Oryzias latipes: one gene and its partner. The protein of the gene in region 1 interacts with the protein of each later gene in a pairwise test. Links are inferred from orthologs where the notes say so. Each region holds a gene or a part of one and is shown on either strand. Other genes may lie near its edges.

What was found. The genes of interacting proteins can lie anywhere in the genome.
Region 2: the proteins of tepsin (region 1) and ap4b1 interact in binary tests that used the Homo sapiens proteins (3 or more experiments, as listed by UniProt). The link is inferred for Oryzias latipes from reciprocal best matches to the Homo sapiens genes TEPSIN and AP4B1.

Annotation. Positions count from the first base shown.
Region 1 is NC_019877.2:3,984,033-3,988,085, reverse strand, and holds the start of tepsin (AP-4 complex accessory subunit tepsin), read right to left. Parts: upstream 2,808-4,053; 5' UTR 2,724-2,807; coding exon 2,685-2,723; intron 2,417-2,684; coding exon 2,344-2,416; intron 2,216-2,343; coding exon 2,124-2,215; intron 2,042-2,123; coding exon 1,948-2,041; intron 1,865-1,947; coding exon 1,797-1,864; intron 1,712-1,796; coding exon 1,630-1,711; intron 690-1,629; coding exon 618-689; intron 465-617; coding exon 273-464; intron 149-272; coding exon 1-148. Other genes in the region: ndufaf8 (NADH dehydrogenase [ubiquinone] 1 alpha subcomplex assembly factor 8), read left to right, coding at 3,132-3,212, 3,995-4,053. UniProt on the Homo sapiens protein: Associates with the adapter-like complex 4 (AP-4) and may therefore play a role in vesicular trafficking of proteins at the trans-Golgi network.
Region 2 is NC_019865.2:4,816,781-4,820,297, reverse strand, and holds part of ap4b1 (AP-4 complex subunit beta-1), read left to right. Parts: intron 1-3,009; coding exon 3,010-3,217; intron 3,218-3,290; coding exon 3,291-3,517.

The DNA.
Region 1 (4,053 bases):
CCCGATTGGCTCCTTGTTCCAGCTGACTTGCTGCCCAGAGACGCCCTGCTATCCGCACTGATGTCCTGAGAGGAGTTGTGGGAGGAGCCATTGCTGCTGTCAGTCTCCTCCCAGCCACCGCCTACCTGCCCCGGACACCATTGTAACACTATTGATGTGTAAAACAAAAAGGCATAAAAAAACCCCACAAATTTTAATTTAAAAATATGAGAGATACCATCCATTTGTCGTCTAAAGGTTTCTTCTCAAACTGGCGTCCTTAAATGTCTGACCTTTTGCTTTGCTTGCAGGGTGGTTGTATGCGCACGCTGGAACGGCGACTTCTATGGGTGCAGATGGGGCAAAGACGGCGCGGTAATGGTTATCGTGGAGGCGGAGGCCCTGTTGTTCCGTGGGGGGAAGGACAGCGCTGGCCACGACCTCCGCAGCTTTTTGGATCTTATCCAGGAGTGATTCGCTGGCTGCTGCGAGACACAGATGTTAGAACAGAGGTTCAGAGGAAAATGAGAATCCCAGACGGCCCTCTTTGCAGAGGAGATTGACAAAAACTCTCCTTTTAAGGGTTAAGAAAAAAATATATATATTTTTGCCCTGCTCTGCATTGATCAACATATCACCTGTTCCTTGTTTCCCTGGACTATATCCAAAACCCTGCAGTGCTGACCTGTGGGACAGAGCTGATCCCATACCTGGACAGAGAAAATAAAGAAGTTATTGGAGGGAAATATCTACATGAACAGAATATCTTCAATGTAAAGTGATCATTTCTATTCCAAATAAACAAAAACACAAGTTAAAGCTTTGATTTTGAATAATAATAACCCTGCATAGCAGCCATAAATGCAGCTGAGTAGAGAAGGAATCAGAATCCTTTATTGTCATTGGTGATACAATGAAATTGTAGCAGCCTGGGAGTGGTGGAGATAAAATAGAATAAAATAAAAATACTGTAACTCACATTTCTAATCAAAATATGTACAATATGTACAGAAACAATGAAATATTAAATACGTAAGAACAAAATAGAATGGAATGAGTTGAGTTGCCATAACCGGACATTACTGGTGCAATAAAAATGTCGAGCACTTTTGTAGCTATCTAGCCATATAGGTTTGAATCAGACGCCAGCTCCATGACAAAAACGAAGACATACGTGGATCTAGTCGTCTACAAGAGGATGAATCAGAAGGGAGCGGAGCAGGGAGCTTGTGGAGTTATTTTTATTTATTTTTTTACATTCTGTCTTACAGTTAAAGTTTGTCTATGATGGACATTATAACCAAACTTATCTTTTTACATAAAAAAAACCCTACAGAATCAGTGACTGACAAATACTTTCTGCCCCGATATAAAAAGTCAAAACAGGAGCTGGTTTAGCTCGTGCTGGTTTGCGGCGCCTTCCATCCGTGAAACCAGGGTTCGACTCCGGGCTGCTCCCTGTTCCCTTCTCTACCTCTGTGCCGGTCCCAAGCCCGGTTTGAGAAGGTTGCGTCAGGAAGGGCATCCGGCGTAAAACATTGCCAAATTTACCATGCGACTAGTTCGCTGTGGCGACCCCTGATGGGAGAAGCCGAAAGTGGAAGAAGAAGATAAAAAGTCAAAACACAGGTAAACCTAAATTCTACTCACCCATTCCTGGAGGGGCAATAGTGTGTGAAGACATGCTGCTTTTGGTATTAAATGAATCTGTGAAAAGTAATTGAGCCACTTCCTGTAAATGTAAACAATTAACACCTAGTAAGTAAATTCCAACTCAGTTTATAAACCAGGTAAAAAGAATACACCCAGTCTCGTACCTGTGCCGTACTCCTTACTTTCTGGTAAAGTGCTGAGCCATGGATGGGATCAGGAGGACCACTGTAAACTTATAAATGGACATTTTTCAACTTTAAAACCCCATTATCACGTGATACCTATGATATATTCCAGTGGTACAATCTCTTATACCTGATGCTTGCTGGATGAAGGTGGAGTTTCTTCTGAGTTCTGTAAGGAAATGATCTGAACCATGACCACAAAGGTGGACAAAAATCTTTAGCACCTTCAATAACCAGGAGGAGAACAGAGGTTACACTCAGTTAGATGAATGCAGAAATGAGTCTATGCCCAGATGTTGTTCTCACCTTAAGTTTGACGTGGCAGGACTCGACTTGCAGTCTCTCCAGGAGGTATTCAAGCAAACACTGACCACAACCCAAGGACTCATGGGATATTTCTAAAGTGTAATGGCAGTTAAGGGCATACTTTAGTAGTCAGTGTGTGTATTAAATGGAACAAGTTTTGCTTATCCGAAAAACAATGAAAACATTTTTTCCCCTTGATTAGGCCACCAACAAAGGATACTTCCAATCTCCTGAAAAAGGTAACCAGGACAGGGGTTTTCATCATCTGCTGTTGCCTTCATTAAGGTGGGAACCTGCAATAATTATGAGAAACTATCAACTTTTATTTATTAAAATAATGCTTCCAGCTTTAAAATCGTAGAAAATAATCTACTACTTTAATGGGTATTTAGAGACCCTAGCCTAAAATAAACACCATGCTAAAGAGTAGCAAGCAAGCTAGTAGTTAGCTAGCTAGGTAACTGCTACAAACAGGGGCGTCAAGCTACGTCGAGTCCGCCACGCGCTCCCAAAAAATCAACAGTTTTGTCTAGAAGCAAATTTTTTCCGAACTTTACTTACTTTTTGAATAAAAGCTAATCGTTCCAAAAATGTAGCCATGATTTAGCAGGTGTAGCCGCGGGTTCCTCATCTTTCTGAAGCTACTATAAGGAGGGCGTGGCTAAGGTGACAGGCAGCCAATCACCCTCATTACTTTGAGTCCTCCTCTACGTTCATTGGCGGATATTGGCACGCCTTAAACTGGATGACAACGAATCAGATACTGCGAGGGGAGTCACCCACTTTAGATTGACAGCAATATAAGCCAATCATAATATCTAAAAATGTAGAAAGGGAAGGTTTTAAATGACAGGGTCATCAAAATGGCGCTACCCGTAGTTTACACGAATTTTAAGCCTTTTTTATGACATTTTTTCCTCGTAAACATGCTCTAAGATTCCTAATCTAATACTCAAATAAAAGCCTATATGTGTTTTAAGGTTTAAAGACATAGATGCATATAGCAGCATGTCGGGCTCAAATGTTTGGACCAGAAGCCGGGAGAAAATGAGAAATTTCAGCGACATCTTTTCAAAGTGTGCCGACGAGGTGAGCCTTCTCAAATTAGTATTTTTCATCTTAATCTTATTTTGGTTAAAATATTCAGTACATAAATATGCAATAATAAACAAACTGTTTTGGGTGACTAAATATCGCATCAGTAGAAGAGTGGCATTATTTTGTCTGTTTTCTTGGATTCTAGCTTTGTTTTGCACAATTTGAGACTAAAGATTTGCGAGATAACTGCTGATCATTCTGGCCTGTTGACTATAAAAACCTCTACTTTGCATTTTCCAGCTGTTTTACCACAGCTGGGGTTACAAATGTGAACATTTATGTGTGAAATTGTCATTTCATGCACTCCTCTTTTAGAATATTTATTGAGCCCCTAATTCATTGGGAATTATTTGATACTGAAAAATACTTTAGTATCTGTTTAAGTTCAGGTGTAAATAGGAACTCAAATTATGATGCAACCACCACCATGTTTCATAGATGGAAAGCAGTTCATCTAACTACAAAATTAAAATTCTGACACTCATTAGAGGTATGCTATTATTTTTTTATATTTCTATACAAAATTCTCGATGTTAAAACATATTTTTACGTTTAAAAATATAATTATAAAGGTTCAACTCCATTTGCATTAAAGTATAAATCTTGGAGACATGTAAAAGTTTGTTTGCACAAATAAGTTAGATTTTCAGTATTTAACAAAAAAATATTTACAGGAAAACTAATTCAAGAAAACTTTGTACCGTCCATATTTGTGTAATTTTATTCTTTTTGGTGAGATTTGTTTTTCTTAATACAAAGCTGTTGTGTTGCAGGCTGCAGCGTATGGAAAGTGTGTCGCAGCAACAACGGCAGGCAGACAAGAGCTGAAGAA
Region 2 (3,517 bases), on another chromosome or scaffold:
TTGACTGAATACTCAGATTAAAAATATGGGCGATGGGTTCAACAATAAAATCAGCTGCAAGTTTTAAGAAGTAGGGGTCTAAATCATCTGGACCAGGAGTTTGTTTTGGGTCAATAGCTTTCAGAGACTGTAACAACTCTGAATTGGAAATTGGTTGAATGACAAATTTGATTGCATGAAAAGATGCAGAAGACGCAGTAATAGAGGATCTGAATGACCAGACACTGGTGAAGATAAAAGAGGAACTAATGTTTGTTAAATTGTTTTGCAATTTCCTCTTTCTGTTGTATAGCAACAGAGTTCACTACAAGGTTTGCTGGTGTAGTTGATTTCACATTTTGTCCAGTTAACATTTTGGTTTGTTTCCAGAATTTATTGGGATTTTTAAGATTTGTTGAAATAGAATTTATGTAGAAATCAGATTTAGTTTTCCGAGTCAAAGAGGTGCATTTGTTTCTCAGGGCTCTGAAGGTGATCCAGTCAGAGTTTGAATTAGTAAATCTTGCTTTGGTCCAGGCAGCATTTCTTTCTCTGAACATGTGTAAAAGTTCTTTTGTGACCCATGGATTATCTCGCCCAGAAATCCGACATTTTTTGACAGGGGCATGTTTGTTACAGATTTTTAAAAAAGTCTCATGAAAATGTTGCCAGGCGCATTCTACATCTTGAATTAACTTAATGCGATGAATATCACAGTTGTAAAGATCATGAAAGAAAGCCTGAGGCTCTAATTTTTTTTACATTACATTACATTTTAATCTATGAATGTGTTTGTTCATGATAAAATTTGTTCCGTTAGAGATAAAATGTAACCAATTCTGAGGTGCAACATATTGAAATGTTGCTTTGGGGATGCGATATGGAATTGGACAGATCTGATATTTTTCTTCTTCATAGACTTTAGTTGAAGAATATTGTAAAACTGTTGGAGAAATTATACTCTCAGAGGCAAGATTCAATGAAATCTCTGTGGGTCCAAGGAGACATAAAATCCATAACGCATAACACATGAAAAACATTTTGAGCAAATACCTCCAGAAACAAGAGACAGGGAAATGAAGAAGCAGTCAAGACCAGGAGGAAAAATAGCCTAGTCCAGTTGTTACTGGAGAGCAGCTTTGGCCTGGTGGTAGCTGCAGAGCTGGTATGTCCTGGAGGCTGGAGAGCTGGTGCAGCCTGGTGGCTGGAAAGCCGGTGCGGCCTGGAGGCTCAAAAGCGCCACAGGAGCTCTTTAAAGTTGTGATTCCTTTGTGTGGCCGAAACGTTCGGCTGTCAAACTGGAACGGCCGGTGTTCCTGTTTCGAACGCCAGGGGGTGGAGGGAACCACTCAGTCCAGTTCTCATATTCAGTCAGTGAAGACCAAAGTGAAAGGAGTTACTGTAAACAAGATGGGGGTAACAGAGGTGTGGATGGACATGGATGTAGGGAGAGAGAGGGGTGGAGATGGTTAATACTGTGACAGTGAAAGTGTGCTGACCGAGTAAAATTATTGATGTATTCAAACACTTTCGAACCAGCCTCACCAGCTTATAGAGCGTATATAGAAATCCAAGTTTCTCTAAAATGAAGAGTTACAGCTCCCTTATAGATTTTAGAAACTTTTATGTTTATATCTGCAAACTCAGATACGGGTAATTAAAGTATAAAGTCTGCTTAAGTTTCACCTTTTCAGACCTCTGTTTCACTGTCAGCTCCATGAAAGCCAAAGTCTCTAACTTTTACACCGCAGAAAATAGATCTGAGTCTGACTTGGCTCAGCAACAAGAATTTGACTTTTGTTGATAATTTTAGAAAGGCGCACAAAGCATAAACACACTCACTCAGATAGACACATATGTTAAACAGTCTGCCTCACTGCTACTAAATATACTTCATGTTCTCTGTCCTTTTACTGTCATTTCCCTCATCTCTGTTTAGAGTTTAACTCACTTGTGGAGATAAATGTGGATTAGGGATTATGTGGTCTGTCAAAAATACTTTCCTGGAGATTATGAGGAAAAAGAACCATTCAGAAATTCGTTCAGATCCTCCTGAAGTGAGACCAAAGCACACATTGCCCACATTTCTCAGCACAGATGTACCTTCGAATGACATTTATGAGCATTAAGTCGGGTTCACATATTTGGAGTTTTGTCAGGACACAGGGCTGCACGGTGGTGTAGTGGTTTGCACTATTATAAAATGAGACATACCCTGGTTTGACTCCCAGCTGGGTTCTTTCTTTGTCAACTTAGCATGTTCTCTTCATGCATGCATGGGTTATCTCCGAGATTTCAGATCTCCTCCTATAGTCCAAAAACATGCTTCTTAAGTTAAGTGATCTGTCCATATTTTCTCTTAGAGACTAGTGACTCCGCCCACCTTAACAGCATTAAAAAAAAGTCAGTTTGATTGAACAAAGGGAAGATTGAAGCCCTGTTGGGTCAATCCACCTGCCAATCATCAAAGCACGATCATAATGCCCAGATTTTTAAATTTAACTTTTTCATTTAGGATCAGTTGATATTAGTTTCTCGTTTATAATTAGAAAAACTGTTACATTTTTTTGTTTGTTTTATCTCTTTAATGGTGTTTTTGTGTTCTCGTGTCCTTTCCTGTTCATTAAGAACATATGAAGAAATTGCATTTCTGAGTATTTTTTATTTCAAATAGTGAGAATCAGGAGCAGATAAAAAAAATTGAGTTTCAAAAAGAGTTTATTTGTGATCGGCAGGCAACAAGCTCCCTGCTCTGCTCCAATATAGCTCCAATATTTCTAACCATTTTTGTTGTACCGCTAATATTAGGTTGGGGGTGTGAGGGGCTGTAAGCTAACAGGAGAGGGTGTAAACAGATGGATGACGGGAAGTGGGGGCGGGCTTGCTCCACACCAACCACTGGGAACGCTTTGAAAAAAGGAGTGGGACTTTAAAACTTCAAAGGAAATGATGATGATGATCAAGCTCTGCCAGCATTGTGTTGCTTCTAGAAACCTAAATGTTCCTTTTACTGTCCGTATCTGTCTCCAGGGCAGGCAGGCCTTGTTGTGGCTTCTGGGTGTGTACGGAGATGGGGTTTCCAGCGCCCCCTACACTTTAGAAGCATTCATTGACGGAGTGAGGAGTGAAGTCTCTTTGGGAGTAAAGATGGAGCTTCTGACGGCCACCATGAGGCTGTTTCTGACCCGGCCTGCAGAGACCCAAGACATGCTAGGAAGACTGCTGCACTATTGTATAGGTGTGTGTAAGTGTACAAAAAAAGAGAAGGAGATACAAATGTAGATGGTTGTTAAAGCATTTCTTTATCTCAGAGGAGGAGACGGACATGTGTGTGAGAGACCTGGGGCTTCTCTACTACCACCTGCTGAAATGCGGGGTAGAAGAAACACGGAATGTCCTCCAGGGCAGGAGGTCGGACCCTTCTTTGGGCGTTCTGATTGGTCGCCCAGCGGAGCCCATCAGCCAGTGGGCGTGTAGCTTCAACACCCTGGAGCCGCTGAAGAAGGGTGGCACCGTGACACAAACAGCCAGCAGGGGG